Diceros bicornis minor: one gene and its partner. The protein of the gene in region 1 interacts with the protein of each later gene in a pairwise test. Links are inferred from orthologs where the notes say so. Each region holds a gene or a part of one and is shown in the gene's direction. Other genes may lie near its edges.

Evidence for each region.
Region 2: the proteins of CCNDBP1 (region 1) and STK25 interact in binary tests that used the Homo sapiens proteins (3 or more experiments, as listed by UniProt). The two-hybrid records come from large-scale screens. The link is inferred for Diceros bicornis minor from reciprocal best matches to the Homo sapiens genes CCNDBP1 and STK25.

What each region holds. Positions count from the first base shown.
Region 1 is NC_080744.1:40,641,538-40,649,171, forward strand, and holds the start of CCNDBP1 (cyclin-D1-binding protein 1), read left to right. Parts: upstream 1-4,569; 5' UTR 4,570-4,665; coding exon 4,666-4,774; intron 4,775-4,950; coding exon 4,951-5,010; intron 5,011-5,299; coding exon 5,300-5,379; intron 5,380-7,634. Other genes in the region: TMEM62 (transmembrane protein 62), read left to right, coding at 580-698, 3,350-3,676. UniProt on the Homo sapiens protein: May negatively regulate cell cycle progression. May act at least in part via inhibition of the cyclin-D1/CDK4 complex, thereby preventing phosphorylation of RB1 and blocking E2F-dependent transcription.
Region 2 is NC_080776.1:28,317,228-28,324,889, reverse strand, and holds the start of STK25 (serine/threonine-protein kinase 25), read left to right. Parts: upstream 1-4,567; 5' UTR 4,568-4,653; exon of another isoform or gene 4,654-4,715; intron 4,716-5,344; 5' UTR 5,345-5,437; coding exon 5,438-5,467; intron 5,468-7,662. UniProt on the Homo sapiens protein: Oxidant stress-activated serine/threonine kinase that may play a role in the response to environmental stress.

The sequences.
Region 1 (7,634 bases):
CTGGCATTCTAGATGAAAAATTAAAGAAGCAAGTTAACACGTTAACCCTGAATCTGTAGTTGATGTACAAAGTAAAGACTGTGGGTCAGCAAGAAAAGGTTAAAATACATTCATTAATATTAATAAGAAAGAAGAAGTGCATTTCAGAAAGATTACAATGGTTGAAGTTTTATTGCTTAAAGGAGTAAATCTCAGTTATCTGGAAAATTAACTTTTGTGGAATACCTCTTTGCTTCTTAAAGGAAATGCTAATGCATTATATTGAGGTTATTATTGCAACAGAATTTTCTAAAATTTGTGAAGGTACTCCAGTCTGTTTCTGGAATCTATTCCAGGTATAGCATGTACTCACATGATTTTAGAATCCAGAGAAATATGGAGCAAAGGAGCAAACAGTTGGTTAGCTGGGACATTGGGTACAACAAAGAGATTAGCAAAGAAGAAAAGCTATGCAAATAAAATGCTTATAGATGACTAGTCTCATATTTCTTTGTTATTCGTATAAGTGCATCTCATGATGTATATAATCAGAGTCCTAGTTATTTAATCTTCTCCTTTCCTGTCCAATGCTTCTTTCAGGACCATGGTTTGTTGGTGAAATCATTAAGGGCAAATTGGGTTGCTGCTTTTCCTTTGGGATCTTTGTTGATGGACATTTCCTACAAGGCAGCATAACATTTATAGTTGGAGTTCTTCAGGTAAGAAGTCAGAAATGCAATTTAAGAACATCTTGGCCTTGTTGGACTAATTGCGTAACAGTTACAAATTAAATCCAAAATCCCAAATTAAACACCATAGATCATGTTTCCTAATTTACTGGCAGGGCAATCTTTAATATCTGGTGTTTTGTTTGCTTTTAGAGTGCTTCCTAAGCTCTTTCTTCCACTACTGTCTTGTAAATATCTAAAATACATTTTTGGCAAGCAGAGTTTATAAGAGGTGAAAGAGGTTTTTGTTTTTGTTGTTTGTTTCACTGTGCTTTTGCATTGACAAAAACTGAAATAAAGGACTTATGGTAGAATAAATGATAGACTTCTGAGTAAACCAAAATTGATTATGATAATGAAGAAGGAAAATGTTTCAGAGGGAGGAAAGGAAAAACAGACGCACAAGAAAAGCGGGTCAGTTACCCACTGGAAGCTACACTGGGCAAAAACCAGACTTGGCTTTCTAGTGATGTCTTAGCAGTACACTTGTTTGGGAAACACTCATACATTAGATTTACACTTGGATTAAGATTCCTTTAGGGGCTGGCCCCGTGGCATAGTGGTTGAGTTCGGTGCGTTCCACTTTGGTGGCCCAGGTTCTCTGGTTCGGATCCCGGCACGGACCTACACCACTCATCAGCCATGCTGTGGCAGCAACCCACATATAAAGTAGAGGAAGACTGGCACAGATGTTAGTTCATGGCTAATCTTCCTCAAGAAAAAAACTGAGGAGGATTGGCAACAGATGTTAGCTTAGGGCTAATCTTCCTCAGCAAAAAAAAAAAAAAAAAAAAACCCCACAAAGATTCCAACACAAAAAACTCTGACCTGTAGCAAATCTCTATAAATAGGTCTGAAAACTATTTACCTAACAATTTATTTTACTCACCTAATGGGGCTAATGGACCAAAATCTGAAGTGATGATCTGATGTTTTGGAAGAGATCCAAAAACATTGTTCAGAATGAGTTCACAGCCTTGTAATAGGATAGTGAAACATGATCAGCAGGATTAGGGAAGACCTCTGCCCAGCAAACACTGACTACAAGCCAGAACATTCTCTGTACAGCAGCTGTACAACATTCTCTGTACACATTGTATATGTGAGTAGGTCCCGGGTCCAGTTCAGTTTTCCATTATGTAGATGGAGGCTGGCCCTCCATCTGTGTGTGGAGCACTCTTATACCAAGTAAAACCTGATCCTTACCGAAAGGTGGGTATATATTTATATTTTAATAAAAGTACACTAATAACGGATTTTATGTGTCATGTAGGCCCATGACTCCCAAATCTACATCTCTGACCTAGACCTCTTCTTGGCACTTCAAGTGCTTATATATCCAACTGCCATTTCACATCTTCCCTTAGATATCTAAAAGCCATCTCAACTTAATATTACATCTCTAATAAGACCTTTAATTTCTACCCCCAAACCTGTGTTCCTCCCCAAATTCTTTCCAATTTCAATAAATGGCTCCACCATTCACTTAGTTTCTCCAGGATGTATCCTCAATTCTTCCCCTTACCTCATACCCTGTATCTAGTTCATCAGCAAGTAGTACCTTGTTTGAGCTACCTCCAATACATATCTTGAATCCACCCTTCTCTCCATCTCTGTTACGCCATCCTAGTCTAAGTCATAATTATTTCTTGCCTGGGCTACTGCACTAACCCCCTAACTGGTCTTCCCACTGCTGCTCTTGCCTCTCTACTATCAGTTCACCACAGAGCATCCACTGTGGTCCTTTTAAAACCTTAATCAGCTCACTTCTCAGCTTAAAACCCTTTAACCAGAGCAGTGACATGATCTGGGTCCTGCTGACTGCCCCCCTTTCCACCTGGCTCATCTTGTGCCAGGCCTATTGGCCTTAAATAGGCCAAGACTGCTTTTCATTGTTTCTTCTGCCTGAAATGTCCTTCCTTTCACTGACTCATTCCTGTCCTTCAGGCTTCAGAGATGGAAGGCTTCAGTCCTTCCATCTCCCAATTACCCTCTCATAACTCAGTTATTTCTTTTATTGAATTTATCACAATCTGTAATTATCTTTTTTTTTTGGTTTCTCTTCTCCCTGTTAGAATGTAACCTCTATGATGCATCTTTTCGGACTTGTTCACCAGTATGTTCCTAGTCTAGAGCTAGCACAGTGCCTGACACATAATGAGTGCTCAATAATTATCTGGTGAATGAATGAATGAATGAATCATACAGCAGCTAACCTTATTATAACTTAAATCTTTTAATTTGTATTCTAGTATTCATCAGGCTACTTCAAATAAAAATACAGATAAAAAAATATTGACACCCAAGTTCCTCCCTCACTGTGCCAAAAAAAAAACCCCAAGTATATATATTGACCTGCACATATTCAATTCATTTCTACCTTAAACATTATTGAGGGCTTCAACATAAATGAAATGATACCTGCCTTTAAGATGAACAGAAGGATACAGGCAAATATACAGCTAACTACAAGTCAACTGTTGTGTTATATGCAAATGTGATTGAAGCTTAAAGAATCAGAGAGTTAACCCCCAAGAGAGAAAGCAACATATTCTTAGGAGCCACCAATAATGTGTTAGTGAGACCCCACCCCTCCAGGGGCTTGCTATTAAGCAAATGGTTTGTTCTGCTTCTCTTTCCAGCTGGTGTTTTTTAACATCCCCTTGATGGCTTACCTGTGTTGGAGCTTGCTGCAGCGGTGCTTTGGTCACAACTTCAGGTCTCATCTCCGTCAAGGAAGATACTTGAAAGTCATACTTGTTCACCTGCTAATGGTACTGCTGTACATCTGGCAGATTTATTCCTGCTATGTTCTTCATATGACGTATGGCACTTTAGCTTTTTTATTCTCCCCACTGCGGACCTGGTTGACACTGCTGACACCTGTTTTCATTCGTTGTGTGTGGACACTGAACTCTACTGAGCTTGGAACCTTCATAGTGCAGTTAAAAAGCCACCTGAGCTCCTGAAGGCCATCTCACCACCCGCCTGTCAGTAGCCCAGGCCTCTGCCCCAGCAACAGGTGAAAGGCCAGTATTGGTGGGCTGCTGCTGCTTGGATGGTTGGGAGTTGGGGGGATTACCCACTACTGATTTCTGCAGCATGGACTGCAGAAAAGTGTCTAAATGATGTTGATTCCTTCCTTCCCCAAGAAGGCAAAGGGTTGATTTACATTTGTGAAGAGAAAGCCCTAATCTAGGAGATCCACACGGCAGGGACTGGGTGTATGGGAGTATCTGAGGCCGAGTGTGTTTTTTAAGATTACCTCATGTAAAGTATCTAGCACAGTGTCTGGAACTCAGCAGCCATTACGGGTGCCACTTTAGGGGCGGAGAACCACTGCGAACTTGGGCCCGACCCTGACTACGCTTGAGATATTAGCTCCCAGTCCTCTTTTCCCGCAGGGTTATGGGTTCTCTGCTCCCTTAGTCGGGGGTGTTTTCAACTAATCAAATAAATGAATAACGAATAAGAAGTAACTCAGAGAGGTCCTTGCTTGTGTGGCCCGGCCTCTAGGGCGGAAGGAGGGGTGGCCCGGCCTCTGGGGACGGGGAGGGGGAGTCGTGGCCTGGCCTTTGGGGCGGGAGAAGGCGTGGCCGGGCCTCTGGGGCGCAAGGAGGCGTGGCCGGGCCTCTGAGGGCGGGGGGGGAGGCGTGGCCGGGCCTCTGAGGACGAGGGGAGGCGTGGCCGGGCCTCTGGGGCGGAAGGAGGAGTGGCTCGGCCTCGGGATGGCAGGAGGCGTGGGTGGGCCTCTGGGGCGGAAGAAGGCCTCGCCGGGCCTCTGGGGACCGGAGGGGGTGTGGCCGGGCCTTTGGGGCGGGGCGGGGCGGCGGGGAGGCGGGTTGTTGCCGGAAGCGAATCCCGGTCTGTGACGCCCGGAAGTGGAGCGGCTACCGCAGTGGGACACGGGCAGCTGCCTTGGCTGCTTTTGTCTGCAGGCTCTAGGAGGTCTACTGAGATGGCGGGCGCAGCTGCGCCTGCAGCCGCATTCTCTACCCTGGCTCCGCCTTTGGAGCAGCTCCGGCACTTAGCAAGGGAGCTGCGGTTGCTCCTGCCTGGAGTGCGGGGTGAGCTGACGCAGTTGGGACAGGCGACGGCAGGGGCGCGCTTGGGGTGGGGGAGAGGCCAGGCTGTGGCGGCGGCGGAGGCGGGGGCCCGCGCGGAGGAGGTGGGGGCAGGAGGTGGCTCCGCTTACCCGGCCATTTTTTTTGCCATTACCCGGCCCACACGCCTCGCCCACCAGTCGGTGAAGCCCAGGAGACCACCAAGGAGTTTAATCGGGAGACGTTTTGGAGAAGACTCAGTGAGTGCCTCTCCTGTTCCCATCTGTCATGTCCTCCAGCGTCCCGACCCCTTTCCCTCTCGCTTTCCCCCCGCCGCATCCTCTCTGTGGGGATACCTCACCTTACCGGTACATCCTCGGCATTTCAGGGGTTGATATAAAACATTGATTTTTGGAGGTGTTTTTGAGACTTCTCAGCCGGCAGGGGTGGAGAAGGGAGCGCGTTATCTTCCAAGTCCGTGCAGCAGCTGCAGCATCATCCTTTTAGCGCTAACATATTGACTCCTGTTTCCTCGTCTGTCACCCCTAGATGAGGCCGCTGTGAAAGTGTCAAGGGAAGCCACGACTCTGACCGAAGCCTTTTCTCGACTTCCGTTGCCGTCTCCACAGGTGGGCTTTACCTTCCTGGAATCAATGTGCTGCCGCCTTATTCCTTAGGAATGCTCTCATTTTCTTTCCACCTTTTGCACTTAAGCCAGGGAATTTATTTTTCTCACCTGTCAAATAAGATTTCAGGATTGTTGCGAAGACCAAATTGCCAAGTGCAGTACCTGGCATGGAGTGGGAAAGTCTTCTAAATATTGGTTCAATTTGAAGTTCATCCTGGTCATCTCCTTCCTGATAATTTTTTTAAGCACTTGCTATTTGCTAGGTGTTTTCACATGCATGATCCCCATCTGACAGATGAGTAAGCAGGCTCAGAGGCTCAAGTTAAGGTAAAAAAGCAGTGGAGATGGGATTTAAATTAGAGTCTATCTGATGTCTAGGCTATGCCTTTTCTGTTATGCTACATAATACCCTTTTTGTGTTGTATTATTTCTTATATTTAATCAGTAACATATGTATACAGTGTGAAATTCAAAAGATATCAAAGTTGTGTGCTAAAAAGTTTATATCTCCCCTCCCCAGTTACTTTTGTATTATTCCATATATATTCTATGCTTCTTTTTACACAAATGAAAGGATGCCATAAACACTTTTCTGGACCTTCCTTTCTTAAAAAAATTATCAATCATAGCACATATAAATTGATTCTTAGCAGCACATATAAAGTTGCTCAGGTCTTTCTAATGGCTGCATGGTATTCAATAGAGTGGATATAACCATAATTTATTTAGACAATACTCTAAGTAGACATTTAAGCTGTTGCCAACTTGTAACTATTATAAACAGTGCTGTGGTGAATTACAGTCTTTTTTGTGTGTGTATCTGTAAAAAAAATTCTCAGAAGTGGAATTGCTAGAACAAAGAATGTATGCATTTTTAATAACTGTAACTATAATAACTTTATTATAAAACTAATGAAAGTAAACATGTTGGCTGTGACTAGTTTTTCTAGAGCTAGATGTACTTAATTTGGGAGTAGGGTTATTTTAGAATGACATATTCGTTGCCATATTTGGTTTCCATAGTCAGTAGTTTCCTTCTTTTTCTCAATCTATATATTCAGATGTTTTGAAATGAAAAAAAACTTTTTTGCTGCATCTACAGTGATAAACTCTCTCCCCCTGCATACCTCAGAGATCTGTGATGAGGAAACAAGAGATGAATTGTATGAGAGCACTTTAAAAGCTTTGTGAAAGTCAATATTTATTTCAAAAGGAGTAGTAGTATTACCTTCAATCTGCTGACTCCTTTCTTTCAAATACACTTAGGACTTGCTGCTAAAATTTATAGCTAGTAAGATACCGTGAGGTGGCAGCATAGAACTGTTTTTCTGTACATGCTCAGGACAGTGGTTTCACTCATGGATGAAAAATTAGAATTTGGTTTTATTTGAATTATATATATTTGAATCACAATTGCTTTCTTAGAATCTCAGCATGTTAGTCCTACTGAAGAATGGTTTTGTTTTTTTTTTAATTCCAGTCCATATGGACTGGTATTTTTATAAAATTATGTTTGGATGTTGAAGCAGTGTCAAATTGCCACAAAAGTTTCTGAACGCTCTCATTCACCGTACTTATCCATCCTAGACTGTGATGAACCGTTTATGGACTAGCACCAATCTGTGGACCAATTTTGCATAGCACTGGCTTAGAGTTTAGTAGAGAAGCGAAGACAAGGAAGATAAGAGAAAGCCAGTGACTGCTTAGAAGGAAAATAGTCAGCATTGAGCATTGTAGAGTCCATGCTAATTACCTTTAGGTATACTGTCATGACTAGCTTAATGACGGATACATTCTGAGAAATGCATCCTTAGGCGATTTTGTTGTTGTGCAAACATCATAGGGTGTACTTACACAAACCTAGATGGTATAGCCTACTACACACCTAGGCTTTACAGTACTAATCTTATGGGACCACTGTGGTCCGTCATTGTTGGAAACATTATTATGCAGCATATGACTGTACTGTGATTCTGTTAAGAGAGAGACAGATGGCGAGACAGAGAGATCAGACACCTGGTTAGTGGTCTAAGGTAGGGTTGGCAAACTTCTTCTGTAAAGGGCCAGATAGTAAATATTTTAGGCTTTGCAGGCCAACTGCTTAGCTCTGCCCTTGTGGTGCGAACACAACTACAGACGGTCCCCGACTTACGATGGTTCAACTTAACGATTTTTTGACTTTATGATGGTGCTGTGTGAAAGCAATACTCATTCAATAGAAAGCAGTATGCATTCAGTAGAAACTGTACTTCGTAT
Region 2 (7,662 bases), on another chromosome or scaffold:
TCTTCCTCTATTTAATATATGGGATAGATATAATAATATGTATATAATTACTTTTTGATAATGGTTGTGTTTAACAACCAGCTCACAAAATTCCTGAAAATTTAAGGACAGGCTCTTGGGAGCTTCTCAGTATTTCTCAGTTACCCTTAGAGTCTGAATCCCACAACCTTGGGATGCAGACAACAGCAGCCTCCCCACTTCCATAACCGTTCTCCTAACTCCTGAGGCTGCTTTTCAGCTCCTTCCTGGCCTCTCTCTGCCATGTTGTCTCTGAATTGTCTAGGATGGGGATCCCAGGTGCTGTCACAGGGGTCTGCACGGGATCCCCTGGGCCCAGGCGTCTTGCCTCTTCCTGTTGGTGCCCCGGCAGCTTTCCCAAGTGAATGAAAGCAAACGTGGGCTACTTTTCTGGTCTTCTCTGGATCCCTGAGTGGAGGCCTGGCTCCGGGCTCTCTCACCAGCTCACCTGCAGCTGTCTTGGAGAGAGACTACAGAGCCTGTGAAACCCACATAGGCCTCCCCTGGCCCAGGCATCCCCCAGCACAGGCGGTAAGCTCTCCAGTTTGGGATCAGCCTCCGCACTGTGGCCACCTCCTAGGCAGAGAAAGAGAGGGCCCTGAGGTCCACGGTCCTCCATGGGTGAAGCGTGGCCAGGTCTCAGACATCTAAAGTCCAGGCTGAGAGAGTTGACTGGCCACAGGCACCTCGAGACCACTCTCTGGAGGGGGAAGCGACGGTGACTCAGGATACAGCCCGGGCTGCACTGGGCGCAGCAGTACCAGATGCTGGGGGAGCAGCAGCCCCAGCCTGCCACCAGCTCACCTGGATTGTGGCCTGTGGTCCCCTGTCTGGGAGACACCAACTTGGGCCCCTTGGGGCCGCATCCCTTGGCTCCCACCGCCTTTCCCTGGGCCCTGCCCTGTGGTCCCCCTTGCAGGCCAATCTGGGGAGTATCCACCCAGTTCCTCCTGGCCCTACCCAGGGAGCAAATCCGGAGGTTGAAGTTCCATCTCCTGCCCGGAGCCCCAACTTCACAAGCTTGTTTATCATTTGGGTTTTTCAGCCTTGTCTCTGCAGTGTGCTTCCCTCCCTGTCCTCCTCTGGGACACTGACCTCCACCATGCAAAGGTTGTACTCCAGGCCACTGCTGCCTGCTTCCAGACCCGGAGCGCAACAATCCCAGGACTCGTCCAGGCCACGCTTTGAGTTTCTGATCTATTTCTGAAACACAGAGGTTCTTATCTTATTTTTGAGTTCAGCCACGTCTCCTCTCTCTGTCTTTCTGTGCCTGTTTCTCTGTCTCTCTCCCCCAGGCATTCAGAAATACTCTAGTGGGGGCACCATCCTGGATCAGCTTCCTGAGGATTGAAGATGCTCAGGGAGGCCCTGCGGTTAACACGGAGGCTGACGTCAGGGAGTAGGGGACCCTGACAGGCAGCAAGACAGTGAGGCAGCCCGGGGTTATGTGCAGGGATGGCCGTGGGCTCCCCTGGACCAAACAAAGGGGCAGCCACTAAGGTGCCGATTGGCATGGCAATGGGCTGAGAAAATGCAGGTCTGGGGCCGGCCCCTTGCCCAATTCCTAGCCCTGTGTAGCTTCATGGATCTGGGTCCCTGGAGAGAAGAGAAGACTGGGCACCCAGAAAGAATGTGGCAGCAGCCCCACAACGAGGCTTGGCCTTCCCCAGCCTGGCCTCCCTAGATAGACACTGGTCAGGATGGTCTGCTTTTCTGGCCCAGCGCCCTCAGCACCACCTTGGTGGCCTCACAGGATCCCTGAGCCTCAGTTGGGGTTTCCCTTGAGGACAGAAGAACTCACAATGAGTGAAGTGAGGCAGTAAGCTGACCCTGCGAGCACCCCACCTTCCCAGAAGCAGCAGCCAGTGTGCAGCCGTGTGGAACAGCGGGATGGCCTTTGGGAGGCTGGGTCCCACCACCCCAGCTGTAGTCACACCCTGAGGTTTGGCAGAGAATAAAGGGCTCGTCCATGAGGCCGTTTGTCCTCAGCAAGTGCACAGGCCCAGGGCCATCCCTGACGCTGTGGCTCTTCTGACGTAGAGGCTACGTATTCAGGGAGGGCTGCTTCCATCGGGCTCTACAGTGGAGCTGACCCCCCAGGTCATCCCGCAGCCTCCCCTGGCTTTGAGGCAGCCTTGCCTACTCCATCTTCAAATCGTTCTCTTCTCTCAGTTTCCGCTGGTGATGCCAACCCATCCCGGGGCCAAGGTGGACCAGTGGTCCCTGGGGGGCTGCGCCCTCCTCTAATCCCTCCTCCAGCCCCACTTCTGCACATCCTCAGGGAAGCATCAATGGGGCGTGGGGCGGGACTTTCCTCGGGGTGGGGGCGTGCAGGAGAGGGGGCTGGGTGCCTGTTGGGGTGTCCTCAGACACACCAGGTTCCAGGACTTTCCAGGAGGACATACTGCTGTCCTCCCATTTAGGGGTGTGTGTGCAGTCTGATAAAGATGACCTAGGCCTCGAGTTTGACTGGGAAGTCATAGGAGAGAGGGCCCGAGGAACAACTGAAATGGCATGGTGAGGGGGGTGCAATCAGGAAAGTGCCGTCTGGGGCCCTGCAGGGGACAGTGGCTAGGCTTCTTCAGCACCTACATGGCAGGGGGAAAAAAGGGACAAGCAAACCAATCATAACATATGGACCTTACTGGGATCTTGATTTGAACAAACTGTGTGCAGTCGGATATATGAAATCATATCCATATGTACACACACACACACATATGAAATTTGCACACGGACTCCATATTTGATATGAAGGAATTATAATTAATTTTTATATTTTTATTTTTGAAAAACATACAATAAAATTGCCTTTTTTAGCGTACAGTTCTATGAATTTTAATGCATGTATAGATTTGTGTGATCCCCCCCACAATCAGGATACAGAGCAGTCCCATCACCCCTCAAAGGCTTGCTCCTGCTGCTCCTCTGTAGGGACAGGCTGCTCCCCCAACCTCTGGAAAGCACTGATCAGTTCCCCTTGGCTGATATTTTGTTGTTTTGACAACATCGCCTAAGTGGAATCATATACTATGTAACCTTTTGAGACTGGCTTCTTCCTCTGACATGACATCTGTAGGGTTCACCCAAGATGTCACATGTATCAGTAGTTCCCTCTTTTTGACTGCTCAGCAGTATTTCAGCATATGGATGGACCACAGTTTATCCACTCACCCGCTAAAAGGCCTCTGGGGTGTTTCCACTTGGGGCTATGTGAATAGGTATGCTGTAGACATTTATGTACAGGTTTTTTGTGTGAAGATAAGTTTTCATTTCTCTAGAATAAATACCTAGGAGTGGGAATGCTGGGACACATGTTAGGTGTAGAGTGGACTTTTTTTTTCCTGAGGAATATTGGCCTTGAGCTAACATCCATTGACAATCTTCCTCTTTTTGCTTGAGGATGATTGGCCCTGAGCTAATATCTGTGCCAATCTTCCTCTATTTTGTATGTGGGTTGCCACCACAGCATGGCTGATGAGTGGTCAAGTCCATGCCTAGAATCTGAACCTGCAAACCTGGGCCACCAAAGAGGAGCGTGCTGAACTTAACCACTACGCCACGGGGCCGGCCCCCTCATTTTAACCATTTTTAAATGTACAATTCAGTGGCATTAAATACATTCACATTGTTGTGCCACCATCACCACCATCCATCTCCATAACTCTTTTCATCTTGTAAAACTGAAACTCTGTCCCCATTAAACACTAACTCCCCAATCCCTCTCCTCCAGCCCCCGGCACCCACCACTCTACTTTCCCTCTCTACGACTTTGACGACTCTAGGGACCTCATACAAGTGGAATCATACAATATTTGTCCTTCCGTGTCTGGCTTATTTCACTGAGCATAATGTCCTCCAGGTTCATCCACGTTGTAGTCTGTGTCAGAATTTCCTTCCTTCTTCGGGGAAGAATAATATTCCACTGCACGTATGGACCACATTTTCTTTCTGCATTCGACCCTCGACTGACATTTGGCTTGCTGCAGGGGCAGCTCCCAGGGACAGGACGGTGGCAGCGGGGACAAGACGGTGGGCCGATGCCCGCCAAGATGGAAGGGAGGAGGAAATGCAGGCCAGGGGAGTGGGGATGGAGAAGGACATGAAGGGACTGGAAGGGAGTACAGAGCGGGGACAGCAGGAGAGGGACGGTGGGGAGGGGAGATGAGGCGGGGACGGCAGGCCGCCGGAGAAAGCGGCAATAGCGGACCAAGGCGGAAGACGGAGAGCAGAGAAGGAGGAGCGGAGGACGGCCTCTACCCAACCGCTGCCCGGCTCCGCCCCCTGCCCTGCCTGGCCCCTCCCCTGCCCTGCCCCACCCCGCGGCCTGCCGGGAGACGTAGTCCGCAGTCGCTCAGGAAGCCCGACTCGGAGTCCCAGCGAGCCCCGCGGCGCGCGTGCGCGCCGCGGCACCGCCCGCCCCGTGGCCTGCCGGGATTTGTAGTCCAGCGCCGGCGGGCACCCGGGCGCGGGGCGGGCGGGGGGACTCGGTGTCCCAGAGAGCCCCGCGCTGGGCCACGACGCCGCGCGCCGCCCTCGCCGTCGCCGCCGCCGGGCTTTCTCCGCCGCCGCTGCCGCTGCCGCTGCTTCGCGGGTTGGAGGGCCCAGGCGTACCCCGGCGAGCGGAGGCTGCTGGTGGGAGCCTTCGCGGGCACTGCAGAGCGGGCCGGGGGAGGCCGGGATGGAGCCCCCCGGAGGTGGGCGCGCTGCCGGACGGGCCCGCGCCTGGGGCGGTTGCGGAGGGGTCCGAGCGGTGGGGGGAATGGGGCGGGGTAGGGCTCTGGGGGCGGGGCTTGGCGGGGGGGGTGGGCGCTGGGGGGGGTCGGCGCTGGGGGCGCGGCTTGGCTTGGGGGAGGGTGCTGGAGGTGGAGTGAGAGCAATGGGGGCGGGGGAAAGGCTCGGGGTGGGGCTTGGCGGGGGAGTGGGTGCTGGAGGCGGGGTCCGGCGGTGGGGGGGGTGTCACGGGGGGGTGGGGCTTGGCGCTGGGGCGGGGCTTACTGGGGAGGGCGCTAGGGGCGGGGCTTGGCTGGGGGGAGGGCGCCGGGGGCGGGACCTGGCGGGAGGAGGGCGCTGGGGGCCTGGCTCAGCGGTGGGGGATGGCCTAGGGGAGGGGCGAGGGCGCTGGGGGCGGACGGGGTGGGGGGGGGTGAGGAAGCCGGCCTGGAGGAAGGTTGGAGGCTGGGGGCAGGGGTGGGAGGGGCTTCCAGGGGGTGCCCCGGGTTGGTGAGCCCTTCGGGGGTTGGGCCGGCAGGGCTGGGCGGGCGGCCTTTGGGGGTCTTGTTGGGAGGGGGCGAACAGGGCACCCAGGGGCCTGCTCTCCTTCTAGTTGACTGAAGCGAGCAAGCCGGGTTCCAGAGCCTCAAGACGGGATCTTGGGGCCTCCTGGGGTTGCAGCGGATGGTCTGAGGGCAGCGCAGACATGGCTCACCTCAGGGGATTCGCCAACCAGGTGAGGGTTGGTTTCTGCCTTGTAAGCGTGTGTTCGTGCTTGAGCCCCCCAAGGGGAGTGCAGACTGCAGAGTCCAAGAGAGGTGTGGATCACGAGAGACGTCTTATTTCACCCAGAAGTATCTTTTGAAAATCATCCTGGGGGTTTGGGAGAGCGGTCTATTAAGGGGATGTGGGCTGAAGGGAGGAGTGTTCTTGGGGAACCCTGTGATGCCCGTCATGGGCAAAGTGGGGACCATTCCTGAGGTGCTCAGGCTTGGTGGGGAGCAGGGCTGACTCAGGGTGGCCCATGGGGTGTGCTGTGGGGCAGAAGCCCACAGGCCTTTGAGACTAGAGCCACAGTGCAAGATCCAGGAGGGTGTGCAGAGACCTATCTTGGGCGCAGGGCTGGGTGGCTTGGGTGGGAATCCTGCAGGAACCTGGATCTGCGCATCTGGAGGGACGTCAAAGAGCAGGGTCCACGCTGGAGACCCCCACCTGACGGACAATCCAGAGGGGCTGGGATTGTCGTTAAGTGGCTGTGGTGTAAGAGTCGGCATGTAGGGAAAGCAGAGGACGCGAGTGCGAGTGTTTCCACTGGGGGAGGTGGAGAAGGCTGCTCTGCAGAACCTGTGTAAGCCAGGCGAGAAGTGCTTCCCTGGAAGAGGCCAACCGTCTCTCTTCTTTGGGCGATTAGTTCTCGTAGTTCCCAACACCGAGCCGCCTGGAGGTGTCTGGCCTTGCATGTTCACTGGCTGACTCCCTGGGAGCCCTCCACAGAGTTTGCCTGGAACGAGGACCTGCTGCTGGTGCCTGGTGCTGGGAAAGGAGGGTCGGTGGCAGCCGGCGGGGGTGTGGTAGTCTGCGTCTCTCCGCCTTTTTGTTTTTTCAAAGCCAGTGTGACCTGAAGCTGACTGCGCTAGAATACACCACTGCGGTGGCCAGGTGTTCCTGCATCCTGGCTGTTTGGTTTTGTTCGGTTTGGGCACGATTTGGGCTGACTGCTGCCAGGTGTGGGAATCTCCCCTTAAAGGGAGTGTAGCCCTCTGGCTTGCTCCTGTGTGCTGAATCAGTGAGGACTGGGCATGCGAGGAACAGGAAGCGTGTGTGTCCTCTTGGGGGCCAGAGGGGCTGGAGTCAGAGCTCAGCTCCAGACCCAGCCGGGCTCTGTGGAGAAACCTGGAACGCCACGCGCAGCTGTTGGGCATGGCATCCGGGACCAGCTGTGGCCACAGATGGGAGCGAGGGCTTGCTGACTGACGCTGAATTAAGCTAACAGATTTTTCATTCATTTTTGACATTTTGTGTCTGGTAAATTACATGACTAAGATGCTGTGCAAAAACTTTGTCTCCAGCTTATTTTTAAGAGCTGTAGGAATAGCTCCCCTGGGACCCAGTATGAGGAACTGGAGCCTTGAGCTGCCTCTGTCCCCTGTGTGCCACTGGTGCGTGGCGCTTAGCCTGGGCGTCTGGATGAGACCTGGGAGGGAGTGCGGGTGTGGAGGAGCTGGGGAAGGGACCCTAAAGGAAGGAAGCCCCCTTTGTCCTTTCAGGGGCGGAGAGACTCAGCCTTTGTCGGTGGCAGGAAGCTTGACAGGATGTCGTTTTCTCTTGAGGGTTGTCACTGTGGCCCTGTGGGGCAGCAGGACGTGCTCCCCCGTGGCCTGTGCTCCTGCCCTAGATGGCTGTCCTACACCTAGCTAGTTCCTGCCCCGCCTACAGGGCCTGAGTGGCTGCGGGGTCCCCCGTGTCGTGCTCGCTTGGCTGCAGCCCGTTTTGTGGTGGCTGGGGATGGCTTGGCTCCCTTCATTTTGTGGGGTGACACTAACGCCAGACACAATCCCAGGTGGTGGCCCTGGACCTGGCAGCCCCAGGGCTGATTTGACGCCATTGACAATAGCATCATTTGAACTGATGCCAGAGCCAGTCCAGGGGCCTGAGTGATTGTCTAGACCATGTGCGTCATCTAGAAGGGCAGCCTGAGGCCCCCAGACTTGGAAGCTACTTGCATTTCCTTCACCTGGTGGGGCTGGGAGCGGGTTGTCCCTGTGATGTGCTTGGAGGGTCAGGATCACAGCTAGGAGTGTTCCTGTCATGCTGTCTGCTCAGGTGACTGACCTGCAGTGGTGTGAACCCAAAGAGTGTGAAAGTTGGGGGTTGGGGCTCCCCGCTTCCCTGCCGAGCCTGGAACTCTGGCTTGGGGTCCGCTGTGTGCCC